4 linked regions of the Arabidopsis thaliana genome follow. The protein of the gene in region 2 purifies or fractionates together with the protein of the main gene of each other region. This does not show direct contact. Each region holds a gene or a part of one and is shown on either strand. Other genes may lie near its edges. The genes, in order: AT3G07590, smB, AT1G20580 and SmD3.

Region 1 (3,766 bases), on a different chromosome or scaffold from region 2:
TCTTTAGAAAAACTAGAAGCATATGATAAGAGTTTGAAGTTAGTTCCACCTGATGAGGTAGTTTACCCCAAACACTCCCTCCATAGTACATGATTGGTCGCACTGTGAAACAGAGAAAGTAGGCAAACTTGAAAATCAGTTATACTTGACTAACCGGAAGACAGAGATCCAGATAAGAACATAGATATATCTGATTGTATTTGGAGGCAACTCAAGCAGCACAAGTATAATAGACACAAAGGACAAAGGAAAACTTAGAATCCCTTAATCTCACCAGATAGATCCACAGTTGGGTCGTCGTATTGATGCATTTCAGCTGCCCATCCTGTTCATGACAAATCAAGAGCACGTAAATAAGACAAGTACATAAAACTGACTGCATAAGCAGTGAATTCAACACACCTTATCTATTAAGTTCAAAGATTTCTAAAACTAGCACTGACTCAACAAATGCTTAGCATAGCAACAGTTGATAGAAGAACGACCAGATAGTGATACAGAGCAAAGAATAAACCAGCTAAATGTTTAAAGAGATAGTTCAGATTTATACGTTGGCTCATGAGCTGATAAGCTGCACTCCTGGAGCAGTCCTTTATTGTTATTATCCTCTGGGTCTGGGATATGTTTTCCATCTGAAGACCAGTAGCAGGAGGCTGATTTCTCTCATTATCGTTGTTCTGTTGGCTACTTGTTCGATCTGCATTTCACTCTTTATTTAGCCAAGAACCATAGCATACTAGCAAAACCAGATATAGCTTGAACGACGATTTATTTTCAAGAAAACAGGCAAACAAATGGGTCAAGTACACACATGGAGAAATGAATCAACCAGCGGATTTGCTAATAAAGAGAGAGCGAGATCTGAATTTCAGGCTAAACTCCTAATAATTCACTTTCTTAGAAACGGTTCTTGAAGTTACCAACTATGCACAAACACAATGTGTACAGATTCGCATGCAATCAATTCCTGAATCTACAAAACAAGATTACTTCTATTCATCGACAATCTTTGATCTAAGCTATAATCTCCACAGAACTAGATACTCTCGGAATTAAGAACCGAATTGATTAAGAATCAATAAAGAACGACTGAGGCAAAGAAGACAGAGAGAGAGAGAGAGAGCTCACATACCTCCCGACTTCCGGCGATTCCCAGAAGCCTTCCTGTGACACGGAGAAGCAACATCGAAAGGTAAGAACGGAGTAGCGAAATCAGTAGAATAAAGAACACTCGAAATCAGCAGATCAAAGACCACTGAAGAAGAAGAAGAAGAAGTTACCTTTGATTAGGAGGAGTGTATCGATTCTGATTGGAGCTCGAATCCGCCATTGACGAGTTAGGATTTACGCAGTTTTTTCAGAGAACTCTCTCTCTCTCTCTCTCTCTCTCTACCGGAGGAGATCTGTCAACAGTCAACTGTTTAACGCATAGAGAACGTTGAAAAGCGTCTTCTCGTCTGAAGTCGTTCAATCTTCACGCGCGAATTCTTCGACGCGTGTTTATCAACCTCTCGCGCGCTTTTATTACGCCTTTCCGAAATTAACGTTTCGTGTTCAATTTCCGGTTTGCTGAACCAACTGTATGTAGATTTCTGGTTGAAACATCTACTGGTCCACCATTGGACTTTATGGGCCTTACTACATTTTTGGGCCCAATATTGTAATTTAGCTGATGGATCCAAAACCGGAATCGGATCTGTACCCGCTCCATCGTGAGGTCTCTCACAGCGAAAGAAGGGTTTTGAGGGTTTTCACACCTTTCGCTGTTTCCTCGTCAATTTCTTTGTTTGGTTGTTCTTTCTTCGCATCCAAAGATGAAGCTCGTCAGGTACTGTTTCGTTCTCAGTTCTTCTTTTCTTTAGAAAATTCATGTTGTTCTTAATCTTAGTTAGCTCCTGGCATGGAATCCATTCCCAATATTGAGCCTGAGCTGATTTGTGTTATATGGTTTTGATTGGATCGAGTAGGTTTTTGATGAAGTTAAACAATGAAACTGTGTCTATCGAGCTGAAGAATGGGACTGTGGTCCATGGAACCATCACTGGTAAGTTCTTATTGTTAGCTTCCGGTTTCTTTGTAGCTCTTCTCATCTTTTCTTCTCTCTCGATTTCTCCGTTGCTAGGTCTTATACAAGTCGCGATCTGTTCCCTTATTTTCAATTGGCCCTAATCGCGTCCTTGTGATCACATGAATAGGTTGAGTAAACACACAGTTAGAGCCAGTAGTCATAAAGGTATATTTATTGAAGTTTAAGCTTGATGATTTGGGCAGGTGTTGATGTGAGCATGAACACTCACTTGAAGACAGTGAAGATGAGCCTGAAGGGGAAAAACCCAGTAACACTTGATCATCTTAGCTTGAGGGGTAATAATATTCGCTACTACATTCTTCCTGATAGCTTGAACCTCGAGACTTTACTTGTGGAAGACACTCCTAGAGTTAAACCTAAGAAGCCTGTTGCTGGTACTGCTTCATTCATTTTTGGTGTTTGTAATATTCGTCTTCATAAGCTAAAAGACTTCTTTATCAGTCCATTTATTCGTTCTCTCTTTCTTTCTTCTTTAGGGAAAGCTGTTGGACGCGGTCGCGGACGTGGCCGTGGGCGTGGTCGCGGCAGAGGTCGTTAGATGTAGCAGCGCTCTGGAACATGTTGAAGGTTTGTGAGTTTAATTTTTAGGAGAATGTACGAGTTATGTAACTAGCAACTCTGGCAAAGGAAAGATTTGATTGAGAAATAGTATGATTGATGCTCTAGTAAGGAGTTACTTTGTAATGGAATTCCATGGATAACAAGATTTGGCTTTACATGTTATAAGAGCATCTACAAGTAGAGAATTTGTGTGATACTGATAGCTCAAGACTTTTTATTCATTTAACAAATCTGACTATCAAATTGCATTAACATGTTGACAATCTTAGTATAGAAAAACTGCTATCTCCTCCGTTAATCTTCCACATGAAACCTATCTCACATGATCCTGCAATTGGGATCTTGATTGTAAACGGGTTCCCCGATCTGATTGTAGGGATCACACGGGTAGGGATAGGAAGATGGCACACCATATCCATCATGAGGCCATGGTTGATAACATGGCTCAGGTTTTTGCCATGGTTGACAACATGGCTCAGGTTTCTTCTCTTCAGGTTTCTTCTCTTCGGGTTTCTTCTCTTCGGGTTTCTTTTCTTCTTCTGGCTTTTTGTCACCATCCTTAGGTGGTTCAACTTTAGCTACGCTAACAAGCTCCGCAAATGCAACTTTTTTCCTGAGTGTGTTGATTAGAGCAATCATATCGACTTCAACACCGGTCACCTCAATCTGGTTCCTGTGATCTCCCTTTATTTCCACAGCGTTCACGCCTATAAACCAATGCGATAAATCTTTAGATTCAACAAGAATTACAATCATCAAGTTCTCTAGTGTTTGTATCATTGTTACCTTTAAACTGAACCGCAGTTTTCATTGCCTTTGCTCGAGTTGTGTCATCAGTCATAGCAATTCTTATCAGGATCTTTTGCTGAGTACAATAAGAGAACTCCTTAACATCACAAAGAGAAGTCTCTCTCTTTCACAAGAGAATCGAAGTTATTACTTGTTGTTGAGTACACAGGAGACATACCTTCATGTTATTGTCTTCTGAGAATCCGCGTGATTTGTTTGATGGGAGTTTGCTCCGAACTTTTTTGTGTCTTCTTCGATCACAAATTAGAGGAAATATAAATAAGGATCGATTTTATATATTCATTTGTTCCATGAGTCGTTGTCTCA
Region 2 (4,334 bases):
CGTTTTATATACATTGCACAGAAACTTGAGTGGGAACAATCTTAGCGGCTCAATTCCTCAAAGCCTTCTCAACATGGAAAAGAATGGGCTAATAACGTTGCTGTATAATGGAAATAACCTCTGTTTGGATCCATCATGCGAAAGTGAAACTGGTCCTGGGAATAACAAAAAGAAATTGCTAGTACCTATTCTTGCATCAGCTGCTTCTGTGGGAATTATTATAGCTGTGCTTCTTCTCGTCAACATTCTCTTACTTAGAAAGAAGAAGCCATCCAAAGGTAAGCTCAGGACTAATTAAAACTCATTAACTTCAAATTTGTACTTAAGTATATAATGTATGGTATATAATAGCTTCACGCTCATCAATGGTGGCGAACAAGAGAAGCTATACTTATGAAGAGGTTGCGGTAATTACAAACAATTTTGAGAGACCTCTTGGCGAAGGAGGATTTGGAGTCGTGTACCACGGTAATGTAAATGATAACGAACAAGTGGCTGTAAAGGTGCTCTCTGAATCCTCAGCTCAAGGATATAAGCAATTTAAAGCTGAGGTACCTTCACTATCATTAAGTTTAATTATTCATATACTCAAATAAAATGTATATATATGATTTACCAACTTTTGGGTTACTTGTGGTTTGCTAGGTAGACCTTCTTCTCAGAGTACACCACATAAATTTAGTAACTCTTGTTGGTTATTGTGACGAAGGACAACACTTGGTCCTCATCTACGAGTACATGTCCAATGGAAACTTAAAACAACATCTATCTGGTAACCTTGATTACCTAATTTGTTTCTAAACACAATGATCGTGTGTCATCTTATAACATACACACATCTTTATGAGTACAGGAGAAAATTCTAGGTCCCCTTTGAGTTGGGAAAATAGGCTAAGAATTGCTGCAGAGACAGCACAAGGTTCGTTTGAAGTTTTGAGAAAAAGATAACATTGCAAATTTTTTGAGATGTTCACTTCTCTTGGTGAGTTTTGAAATAAACCTTTTATGAGTTGTATTATATAGGACTGGAGTACTTGCATATCGGCTGCAAACCACCAATGATTCATAGAGATATCAAATCTATGAATATACTTCTTGATAATAATTTCCAGGCCAAACTTGGTGATTTCGGGCTTTCAAGATCTTTTCCGGTGGGAAGTGAAACTCATGTGTCAACAAATGTTGCTGGATCTCCAGGTTATCTTGACCCTGAGTAAGTGGTCTATAACAATACTTAATGAACTTAAGTTGTGTCTTTCTCTTTCCATCTGGTAAATTTTTTATTCATTCGTATTATAGATATTACCGAACAAACTGGTTGACAGAGAAGAGTGATGTCTTCAGTTTTGGAGTCGTATTACTGGAAATCATCACAAGTCAGCCAGTGATTGACCAAACTCGTGAGAAGTCTCACATAGGAGAATGGGTGGGATTTAAGTTAACCAATGGAGATATCAAAAATATTGTGGATCCAAGTATGAACGGTGATTATGACTCTAGTTCATTGTGGAAGGCTCTTGAGTTAGCAATGTCATGCGTCAGTCCATCTTCATCCGGAAGACCAAATATGTCCCAGGTTGCTAATGAACTACAAGAGTGTCTCTTAACTGAGAACTCAAGGAAAGGAGGGAGACATGACGTGGACTCCAAGAGTTCTCTTGAACAGAGCACAAGCTTTGGTCCTGAACATATCCCTGATGCACGCTAGTTCATGCCAAGTTCAGGAATACACGTGTGTTTTGAATAACAAAATATTTCCTTATTCAATGTATCAGATTTGTTTTAATCTTGTTGAACTTTACACATTTGTTCCCGATTAAACTTTGACATTTGCTGATTTGCTCCATAAAATAAGCTTAGTGAAACTTGGAGCCTCAAACTAACAAATATTGTAGCCTATTCAACTAATTGCAGCCCAAGTCCAATATGTTTGGGCCCATAATGAAAGTAAGCCCATAAACAAGAGTGTATTCATTTATAAACCCTAGAAATTTCCCACTTCCCGATTTGCACAGCCAAACCCCCCCAATTTTGGCCTCTCGATTTAGTTTTTTGAAACCCTAAGCTCGATTTCGATCCTCCGGCATACTCGGTTTCGCCGCCGAATCTCTGCTTGTAGCGAGTGTTACTATTCAATCGGCGAGAATGTCGATGTCGAAGAGTTCAAAGATGCTTCAGTTCATCAACTACAGGATGCGAGTGACGATCCAAGACGGAAGACAGCTCGTTGGGAAGTTCATGGCGTTTGACCGTCACATGAACCTCGTTCTCGGCGATTGCGAGGAGTTTCGTAAGCTTCCACCAGCTAAAGGGAAGAAGATCAACGAAGAGCGTGAAGATCGCCGTACGCTAGGTTTAGTGTTGCTTAGAGGTGAAGAAGTTATCTCAATGACTGTCGAAGGACCACCTCCTCCTGAAGAATCTCGTGCTAAAGCTGGCTCTGCAGCTGCTGTTGCTGGTCCAGGAATTGGCCGTGCCGCTGGGCGTGGAGTTCCTACTGGTCCGTTAGTTCAAGCTCAGCCTGGTTTATCTGGTCCTGTTCGTGGTGTTGGTGGACCTGCTCCGGGAATGATGCAGCCTCAGATCTCTCGTCCACCACAGCTTTCAGCTCCTCCGATTATTCGACCTCCGGGACAGATGTTGCCACCGCCTCCTTTTGGTGGTCAAGGTCCTCCTATGGGAAGAGGTCCTCCACCGCCTTATGGTATGAGGCCACCGCCACAGCAGTTTTCTGGACCACCACCGCCTCAGTATGGGCAAAGGCCAATGATTCCTCCTCCTGGTGGTATGATGAGAGGACCTCCTCCTCCACCTCATGGAATGCAAGGACCTCCTCCGCCTCGCCCTGGAATGCCTCCTGCTCCTGGTGGTTTTGCTCCACCGCGTCCTGGCATGCCACCACATAATCAGCAGCAGTGATTAGGTTAGCAGTGAATGAACAGGACTCTTGTCTCGGCTTTTTACTGTTTTTGTCGCTGTTTTCTTGAGATTATGAAGGCTTTAAGATGTTTGATTGAACTTCCTCAGGTTTACGGTATCGTGCTATCATGTTGCCTTTCATTGACTTTAGCCGCAATTTCTCATCTATCTTAGCTTTCAAAGTTTGTAGATTTGTTGACGAGTGAGTTGTCTTTGCCTTATCTTCTTGTGTTTTCTTTTAAGAACGAATCCATTAAACTTTGTTATGTCTTCTTAAGGTAAACATCTATCTTGAGGATCGTTTTACATTGCTAACTCTTTTGAGGTTGAAACAGCAACTTTCTTGCGCCATTTCGAGGAACTTAATAACATCTTAGAAAGCTAGAAACTAAGCTAGTGATCACATCTGAATCTTACTCGAACAAGGGCTAAATCGGTTCTACTATTGATCACCTCTCTTGTCCTTGTTTATGGATTGTTTAGGTAGAAGTCAAAACCTTGTTTAGGGAGCTATGGATGTTGTGATGAATCGTGGATACATTCAGCTATTTGTGATGAAGAACTCGTCGATCTATAAAAAGATTAACAAGTCACATTACCTTGCAATTTTGGATATAGTTCAAATCTAACCAAAATTCTGTTGGTTCAGTTTGGTTGGGTTTCACATTCTTACATATGTTAATTTTGATGAAATGAAATTGTGAATTAGTGTGGTTAGTTGAATGGTAAGTAATACTTGTTTATAGTGAATTATTTTTCAGAACTTTCAATTATTCAATAAGGCTTGGTCACTAACCAAGATTTGACAAGTGAGAACGTATACAAATGGTGTTGACTTACACTGCACACTGCGATTGTTTGGCTGTGTAAGAATTGTGCCGTTGAAGGTTAAAGATAGAAAACAAAACAAAAGTACGAAAGGTAATAAAAAAAAGTCAAAAACATAGGTGTGAGTGTGACCCATTAACACTCCTAATGATGCTTCACGTTAACCCCACCATTGCTAAATCTCAGCTTTATAATTTTAAAAGATCAAAAGAATATTACAAGGCTGCGACAACTTTAAAGGTTAATATATAGTCGTTACTTGTTTATTTCTTAATCGGAGATTCGGTATGATACTCATTATTACGGATTGGAGTTTTCATTTAGTATCAGACTATTTCTTATTGATAAGGTTTATATACATGCTTAAAATCAAGAAAAATCGAATACTTGTTATTGTTACATTGTTTTCTTTTAAAATTTCAGTGCAAAACTGTGGAACTGAATTAAGTAAAAAAACTATAAAGAGGATAGAAATGGGACCCGACGACAAGTTCCAACAGCTAAATTTTGCAAAACTCTGGTTTTTCAATAACACTGTGCTCGTCCTTTTCATTGCCTCTTTCGTTCTGGGACCCTGTGGTGTAGTT
Region 3 (4,500 bases), on a different chromosome or scaffold from region 2:
AAATCAACAATGTCTATAATATGAACTTTTGAGTCTTAAAAGATGCGACTCTCTGAAGTCAAAGTAAGTGAAGTTTCTAAACGACATGATCAGAGTTCAACTGTTAAGAGAAATCTATGAAGCAATGGAACAAATGAAGAGTATAAAGAGAGACTCGTGTGTTGTTGAGTTGCTTGGTGTGTCTTAAGTTGTAAGCAGGAGATAGACGAGGCCTTTTAGATATTCCACTATTTCAGATCCTCCGAGTTTCGAAGTTCCAAAGACTCTGTCAACAAAAGTGATCGGTACCTGCAGATGAAGATGAGCACCAGAGAATCAAGAATATGAATGGAAATATAGTTTAGAAAGAATCAAAATCACAGTGAATTGGTATAAAAAGAGAGACCTCTTCAATATGGTATCCTTTTCTGGTTGCACGAACAATCATTTCCATCTGAAAGACATACCCTTTACTCACACATGAGCTAATCACGTCTTCAAGCGCCGATTTCTTGTATAGCCTTCCAAACAAAGAGGTGCGGAGGTCAGACATGATACTATCAAATGATGTCAGTTAAAAATATGCGCATATGTTATTTGAATTATACCGGAATGATCCTGTTAAATCAGATACACCAGGCCATAAAAGTGTTTGAGCTAGCACATTTGCTCCTCTACTAGTGAGTTTCCGCATAAGATTCCACCCGTGTACACCACCACCTTTTACATATCGTGTACCAGTTACTATACTTGCATTTGTCTCTAGTTGTTTCCTTTATGATAATAAGAAAAAAAACAAATCAGTTGAAGTCACTATAGGTTGTGAAACTAGTAAGAGATCAAGAGACTCTTCTTTTTCTTACTTGATGAAACTTGGTAAGTATTTTGGCTGCACAGAAGAAAAGTGACTGGGTTAGCTAAACAATTAAACAGGTAAACAAGAAAACTAAATTAATGGCTCTTACATGATGTGAAAGATCAGCATCCATGATCACGACGAAATCACCCGTAGCATGCTTCAAACCATGAATATATGCAGTTCCTGAGATTGACCATGCCAAGAAAATTAATTTCATTTCTTGTTAACCAAAACTAGAAGACAATGAAGATACAAATTACATACCCAAACCAAGCTTCTTGGCTCTAGCTCTTAAAAGCTGCATCATAAAAAAGATAAAAACATGATTTCACCTAAACAGAAGAACGCCCAATAATTTACAAATTAAGGTCTTAACACATCATTGTACTCACGATACGGTCTTCACCATACAATTGCTGCAGTTGCTTGACAATTTCCTGTGTGCCATCAGGACTCCCATCATCCACAACAATTATCTCAAAATCAACGTCCCTAAATCATACAAACAAGTAGCGAAGCAAATTCTCAGTAACAGTTAACAAAGAGTCTACTTAACAAGTGCAATTCTATATTAATTTCATATAAGCAGCCATAACCAGAATCGATCTAAGATTAGCACATGTAGCTTCTGACTATTCTCCGATCACTAAATCAAAGTTTTTAAAACACCATGAAACTACTACTATATAGTTTGAGGGATCACTACATTGGCCTTTACTAGCTCATGCACAGAAACAACAAATCACGAATTAGGATCTGCAATCTACAGAAACATGATCGGAAAATTTCCGAGATCCGTAACTTGAAATTGGCGATCAGGTTCGAGTATTCAGTAAAAGAATAACAAAAAACGTAATTCCGATTCTGAAATGAAAGAATGAACGTGAAAAGACCAAAAGAAATAAATATTCATTTACCGGAGATGCTTGAAAATCAGGTAGACTATGATAGCGATGTTGAGGCGCTCGTTGTAGGTAGGAATGATTATGCTATACTTGTACTTCTTCTCTCCTTTGGTCTCCATCTCGTCCGCCATCTCTTCCGGCGAGTTTTGGTAACGGTGGTTCCTTCGTCTTAACCCGTGAAATCAGCCGTCGTCTGTACAAAAATAAGGATTAAAATAATGTCAAATATAGGGACTAAAAAGCAAGTTTCTCAAATTGGGCCTAATATAAATATGGGCCTATATAAAGCCCAAAAATAAATCAGGAAAGCTTTAAAAGAGGTAAACTCGTCAATCGCATCTGAGTCGCTCTTCTTTCCTTCCGCCATTTTTTTCTTTCTAGGTTGCAGAGTTAAAGGAGAAGGTTTTCAATTAGGGTTTTGTAGAGAGAAAGATGAGCCGAAGTTTGGGAATACCGGTGAAGCTTCTTCACGAGGCCTCAGGTCATATCGTGACGGTGGAGCTAAAGAGCGGCGAGCTTTACAGAGGAAGTATGATTGAGTGTGAGGATAACTGGAACTGTCAGCTCGAGGATATTACTTATACCGCCAAGGTAATCAACTGATACTCTGAAGATCTCGATTCATTTTATATGAGACTGTTTTTTGAACCATAGGTTTCGTTTCAATTTCATTGTTTGATGTTAGTGCTGTTAAAACCCTAGATTTGGTGAGCTGGGCAAATTTGCTGGGAAATTTTAGATTGCTTCTTATTTTAAGTTCTAAGTGAGATTAAGAATCCTTGAAATTCATGCTGTATAAAACCCTAGAATGCGTGATCCTGCCAGTGACATTAGATAAATTTTGACTGTAGGGTATAGTCTCCTCTGATTGGTTAAACTTATTATTGATCTATAGGACACATCAATAACTGAGAAGAAAGGTTCTACGTTTGTGCTTTGTAACGTTTTATCCAAAGCCTAAGTTGCTCTTTAGGAATACAGTGGTCAAATGTGAATTATCTGAAGTATGCAGGTCTTAAAGCGTCCTCTTATTTGCGGATTATTGTGCCGTATGGGTTTTGAGTCAACCTGTAATTATTGGGAAAAGAACTACATGTAGTTCTCAATTCAGAAAGTCTTAACTCTTTAAGTGTTATTCTTCATAGTATACATAAATAATCTGTCAACTTAATGGGTTTGTTTGTTAATTGTCACTGAACTTTTGTTTTGGGTTTTCCAATGCTGTGTTACAGGATGGTAAGGTATCACAGCTTGAGCATGTCTTCATTCGAGGCAGTAAAGTCAGGTGCTGTACTTGTTTCCTTGTTTATGTAATTCATGGGATCATTCTTGTTAACCCTAGCTGTTTAGTAATTGACCTGCGGATATATCTTGACAGGTTTATGGTCATACCAGACATTCTCAAACATGCTCCAATGTTCAAGCGGTTAGATGCTAGAATCAAGGTATATATGCTTTTTGAACCCTGGATGCAGAATGATATTAGGATCTCTATACATATCTCCAACAAACATCTTACCTTACTTGCTTAATCAATGTAGGGAAAGAGCTCATCACTGGGTGTTGGCAGAGGTAGAGGTGCAATGCGAGGGAAAGTAAGTTCACCCTCTCTCTCTTATGATTTAGTGCTCATGAATGCAATGTTAGGAAGTTTTATGGAACTTGTTAAGATGTTCAAATCCTTGTTATCCCTTAATGGTTTGTTTCTTCTTTGTCACTACTAATGGTTAGATTCTTGAATCTTTGTGATATTATCTTAAAGCCGGCTGCCGGGCCCGGGCGTGGAACTGGAGGAAGGGGAGCGGTACCACCTGTGAGGAGATGATTGATTTTACGCTCAACATGTAAGCTTTGATTCTGGGATAGTCTTTCTGTGATATCCAGGTGAAAGCCGCCTTTCTTGGTTCTGTCATTAATGCTTTAGAGAACACTGTAAAACCAAACAAGAGAGAGAGATATCCAGATGCACTACTAGTTCTGTATTTTGGGTTACCAAGATGTTTGAATCATTGACAAGTTTTCGTTGTGATCTATTTTCTTCTTTGCGCATTCTCCATTTCTGACAGTAGATGAGTAAAACAAAGTACATTGTTTTCATAAAGGTCTTAATAAGACTAAGATCAGAAAACAAAGTTGGTCATTTATAACATTAATAATATAAGCTAGAAAATAATATTGTACTTGTATTTTCAACATGTAAAACCTTGTCTACTGCTATTTTCCCAAATTATCCAAAAAATTTCCAAAATGACTTGTACAATATTTAGTCTATAAAAGTTTAGTTCCAGAGTACCAGCAAACACCAAAACGACTTGTAGAAGAATATTTGATGGAGTGTAGAGGTTCGGTTCCTGAGTAATATTAACCAAAATGGGTCATAGAGTTTCCTGAGTATTTTACAACGATTATACATGAAATTAGTAGGATCAATTCACAAGTTGAATATAGGAAAGCATGATATCAAAAGATTCTTTTTATTCTCTCTCAAGTGAAGAAAGATCTTAAAGACCTTAAAAAGAGAAGAACCGAACCAACCATTGTACATATCCCATTTGGGCAACTTGCTCTATCTCTCTTTCTCTCACACTCTTTTTGTTCAAAAGAAAAACTCGAGTTATGTCATATTAGATTCTTATTATAGTTTTTTCCTCCCTTAAAGCAGAAACCCAGCTGGTTCACTTCTTGCAGCATGAAAGAACTTAGATGTGTTGTACTTCCTGTGAGCTTCCCTGTTCCTGCCTTGTGATGAAAAGCAAC
Region 4 (3,797 bases), on a different chromosome or scaffold from region 2:
TCTCTGTGTGGGTTCACTTGTTTGTTTTCGAAATATCTGTGGATGGTTTAGTCTTCTCATTTTCGTTGATAAGAGAATAACAGAAAGCGTTTTTTAAAACTCTTAACTTTTTAGGGTTCTTCATTTCAACATATTTTTCCGCTCTTCTTTCCAAATGTCCAAGTCATATCTTATCACTCACAATCACAAGTTCACAACATTTGTCGCGAAAATAAATTAGGCTTCTGGTTTTGTGGACATAATCACTTTGATCTCTTGACTTGGTCGTTCAAGTCGCTAAATTTCTTGAAAAAAACAAGAACCAGTCGATTTTACAACTACCTATGCTGAAGCCGCTCGGGCCGCGGTCCAGTCATGGTGGCCGAAACTAAACCATGAAATCGCGGTTGCCGCTTTTTACCATTACCTATGTCGAATGTTTTATTTCCTACTACAACTCAAGTGTCTTCTCCGTTTTTATCCGACCATCTTTATCAGATTAATAAACGAATGAATATAATAAATGGATAAAAACGACCGCTTTTAGAAAACCATCATTTTATGATTTCTGATTTCTACCAAGATTAAAAAGACGAATCATTCATTATAGAAATTTGAATCGTGCTATATTATACATAAGATGTGGGAAGTCTCTCAATGACCACATTAACAAAACATGTCAATTTTTCAAACATCTTAGTAACCCAAAACACAGAACTAGTTCCTCTTTCTCTCTTCCCTCCATGTCTTAGAGATTTTACTTGCTGTGTACCTTAAATGCATAAGTGACGAGCTGAAGATGGCGGATTCTCATGGATACTGCAGAGAATGTCTCACGAGCCGAAGCTACATTACGAGGGTTAACTAAACTATCTCCTCACAGGTGGCACAGCCCCTCTTCCTCCTCCTGTTCCACGCCCAGTACCCTGAGTATGACATCACAAAATTCAATTAGTTGCTTTGAATTGTCAACATTGTCTTCTTGAGATGTAAATCAGAAACATTAAGGACTTAGGCAAAGGTGAACTTACTTTGGCTCGCATTGCAGCACCTCTACCTCTGCCTACACCTAGTGAAGCGCTCTTTCCCTGTATTGATCAAGTAAACAAGATGTTTATTAGCTTCCATGTTTATAAAGCATAGATGGGATTGATATTCTCCATCACGTTCAAGAAGTTTACCTTGCCCCTAACATCCTTGAACATTGGAGCATTCTTTAACATGTCTGGTATGACTAAAAACCTGTCAAGATTTTACAAAATGTCACATAACAGTCAGCTAAGTTGAAAAAGAATACTCCAACAAAAGTAAATAAGTAGGAAACAAGCAGAGATGTCAAAAGGAGTTTATATCTAGCAGCACCTGACTAAGCTGCCTCGAATGAAGACATGCTCAAGCTGTGATACCTTACCATCCTGTTCCATAAAGAGCCCAAACGAAAGTTTAGTAACAATCATGAATAGAAGATACTAAATTTCTAATCACAATCTACAAATGTGTAAGAGCATATATCTGTAGTAACAATTCAAGATCAATTATATAGTCTTGTAATTTGTTTAATCGCAAACATGTCATGATTCTACATAGTAACAACATAAGCAAGACCTGTAATAACATTTCTTCTCTACTACTAGCATATACAGGAACTAAACCCAATCACTACTAGGAACACAATTTAAGGGTCAAGAATTTCACAAGGATTCTCAATTCTCCTCCAAAATTGAACTACTCTCAACATCACAAGAAAGAGACAACCTAAGAAGCTAAACTGTTCACAGCTCCTACATAGGCAATGGCCAAGAAACGAAACCCTAGTAACTTAGTAAGACATTACCTTGGCCGTATAGGTGATGTTCTCGAGCTGACAGTTCCAATTATCCTCACACTCGATCATGCTTCCTCTGTAAAGCTCACCGCTCTTCATCTCTACACTCACGATATGACCGGACGATTCGTGAAGAAGCTTCACCGGAATCCCCAAACTCCGACTCATCTTCGTCGATTCACTAAACCCTAATTGAACCTTCCCTTTTCCTTTTTAGCAGCCAAAAAGCTTTGAACAATTTAGCTTCTCTCGTTAAAGCTCCACACTCTTATGGACTTCTTATTTAGATTTTGGATCGGCCCATTAGTTTATTGGGCCCATTAGTTGAATGTTGTGTGCCTTTTTTGTTACTTTGTTTTTACTCTTAAGTTTTATTAGTATAAGATAAGATAAGATTTGTTTAGTTGACCCAAAAAAATAAAAAGATAAGAACTGTTTGTAAATTAAAGCTCCTCTACACTTGTGACAACTAGCCGAGTGGTGATTAGATTCAAAAAAAAAAGTTGTGACAACTCAGATTCTCTAAACAGATGTTGCAATGTACAAATCTTCTTCACAGATTCTGATTTAATTGCCAATTTGGCTTCTTGTAGTCCATATTAATCAAAGATTCCATATTAATTGTTTGGAGCGTTACACAAAATAGTTTGCCTATAAATACTCCACAATTTTTATATGATTTTAGTAGCTCAATAGAGAATAACAATAGAAAAGAAATGGAAGGAACAATGAGGTGCTCAGCGAATTACGTCCCGCTTTCTCCGATCAGCTTTCTCGAGAGAGCTGCTGTCGTCTTCGGCTCCAGAACCTCTGTCGTGTATGGTGATATTCAGTACACGTGGCACCAAACACGTGACCGTTGCGTCCGCCTTGCATCTGCTCTCTCTGACCTTGGTCTCTCTCGCCATGACGTTGTAAGTGGTTAAACGACTTTTATATATTGGTCATACTTTTTTCTTTTGTTTAAACTATTTCTTTTATCAGGTGGCTGCTTTAGCGCCAAATGTTCCTGCGTTATGCGAGCTTTATTTTGGAGCTCCGATGGCTGGAGCAGTACTTTGCGTGTTGAACACGACATTCGATTCTCAGATGCTTGCGATGGCGCTGGAGAAAACGAAGCCAAAAGTATTCTTCGTTGACTCTGAGTTCCTCTCTGTCGCTGAAGAATCTCTCAGTCTCCTCTCAAACATTGAAGAAAAACCTCTCATCATCACAATCACAGAAAATCCAACAGAGCAATCAAAATATGAACAATACGAGGATTTTCTCTCCACTGGAAACCCTAATTTCAAACCAATACGACCAGTTGACGAATGTGATCCAATCGCCCTCAACTTCACATCTGGAACCACATCGACTCCCAAATGTGTCGTCTATAGTCATCGCGGTGCCTATCTGAACGCAACTGCTGTTGGTGTTATGAATGAGATGAAACCAATGCCGGTTTATCTATGTACAGTTCCTATGTATCATTGTAGCGGGTGGTGCTATATTTGGACAGTTACGGCTTTTGGAGGAGTCATCGTCTGTCTCAGGGAAGTCAACGACGAAGTTATATTTGATAGTATCGTGAAGCACAAGGTAACTAACTTTGGTGGCTCGCCTCCGGTTCTCAACATGATTGCTAATGCAAGAGACTCGGTCAAGAAGTCGTTTCCATGGACCGTACAGGTTATGAGCGGAGGATCCTCTCCTCCTGAGGTAAAACTAACTATCACAGAGTTTTGAATTACATGTTTGTTCAATCAGGCTTATTTGGTTGAACTTCCATATTTTGAGGTTATATATAATCAATCCCTTGCTTTATACGTTAGCTCCGTCACAGTACATTAATATTTAACATAGAATCATAGTAAAGATATTAATTTATTTGGACAGGTCATGTTGAAACTCAAGAAGCTAGGATTCAAAGTGATGATGGCTTATGGATGCTCGGAGGTGTATGGACTAGGAACAGCTTGTTTGTGGATGCCCGAGTGGGAGACTCTACCTG

Evidence for each region.
Region 1: the proteins of smB (region 2) and AT3G07590 fractionate together in Arabidopsis thaliana (co-fractionation; one large-scale study listed by BioGRID). This does not show direct contact.
Region 3: the proteins of smB (region 2) and AT1G20580 fractionate together in Arabidopsis thaliana (co-fractionation; one large-scale study listed by BioGRID). This does not show direct contact.
Region 4: the proteins of smB (region 2) and SmD3 fractionate together in Arabidopsis thaliana (co-fractionation; one large-scale study listed by BioGRID). This does not show direct contact.

What each region holds. Positions count from the first base shown.
Region 1 is NC_003074.8:2,421,332-2,425,097, forward strand, and holds AT3G07590 (Small nuclear ribonucleoprotein family protein), read left to right. Parts: upstream 1-1,719; 5' UTR 1,720-1,814; coding exon 1,815-1,828; intron 1,829-1,967; coding exon 1,968-2,044; intron 2,045-2,122; exon of another isoform or gene 2,123-2,258; coding exon of another isoform or gene 2,259-2,271; coding exon 2,272-2,463; intron 2,464-2,565; coding exon 2,566-2,627; 3' UTR 2,628-2,656; downstream 2,657-3,766. Other genes in the region: AT3G07580 (uncharacterized protein), read right to left, coding at 50-102, 275-325, 551-697, 1,133-1,164, 1,281-1,330; AT3G07600 (Heavy metal transport/detoxification superfamily protein), read right to left, coding at 2,969-3,357, 3,437-3,515, 3,618-3,623. UniProt on the Arabidopsis thaliana protein: Involved in splicing regulation.
Region 2 is NC_003075.7:11,021,428-11,025,761, reverse strand, and holds smB (small nuclear ribonucleoprotein associated protein B), read left to right. Parts: upstream 1-1,910; 5' UTR 1,911-2,145; coding exon 2,146-2,919; 3' UTR 2,920-2,923; exon of another isoform or gene 2,924-3,027; 3' UTR 3,028-3,726; downstream 3,727-4,334. Other genes in the region: AT4G20450 (Leucine-rich repeat protein kinase family protein), read left to right, coding at 22-278, 352-551, 646-772, 854-919, 1,024-1,213, 1,300-1,708.
Region 3 is NC_003070.9:7,126,804-7,131,303, forward strand, and holds AT1G20580 (Small nuclear ribonucleoprotein family protein), read left to right. Parts: upstream 1-2,063; 5' UTR 2,064-2,175; coding exon 2,176-2,334; intron 2,335-2,975; coding exon 2,976-3,028; intron 3,029-3,121; coding exon 3,122-3,188; intron 3,189-3,284; coding exon 3,285-3,338; intron 3,339-3,505; coding exon 3,506-3,568; 3' UTR 3,569-3,996; downstream 3,997-4,500. Other genes in the region: DPMS1 (Nucleotide-diphospho-sugar transferases superfamily protein), read right to left, coding at 184-288, 386-500, 588-752, 843-868, 945-1,021, 1,103-1,136, 1,231-1,330, 1,756-1,874; AT1G20590 (cyclin), read right to left, coding at 4,363-4,500. UniProt on the Arabidopsis thaliana protein: Core component of the spliceosomal U1, U2, U4 and U5 small nuclear ribonucleoproteins (snRNPs), the building blocks of the spliceosome. May play a major role in the splicing of cellular pre-mRNAs. Required for normal plant development.
Region 4 is NC_003070.9:28,624,132-28,627,928, reverse strand, and holds SmD3 (snRNP core protein SMD3), read right to left. Parts: upstream 2,059-3,797; 5' UTR 1,973-2,058; coding exon 1,814-1,972; intron 1,395-1,813; coding exon 1,342-1,394; intron 1,222-1,341; coding exon 1,161-1,221; intron 1,068-1,160; coding exon 1,011-1,067; intron 906-1,010; coding exon 849-905; 3' UTR 521-848; downstream 1-520. Other genes in the region: AT1G76290 (AMP-dependent synthetase and ligase family protein), read left to right, coding at 2,521-2,718, 2,789-3,505, 3,683-3,797. UniProt on the Arabidopsis thaliana protein: Core component of the spliceosomal U1, U2, U4 and U5 small nuclear ribonucleoproteins (snRNPs), the building blocks of the spliceosome. May play a minor role in the splicing of cellular pre-mRNAs.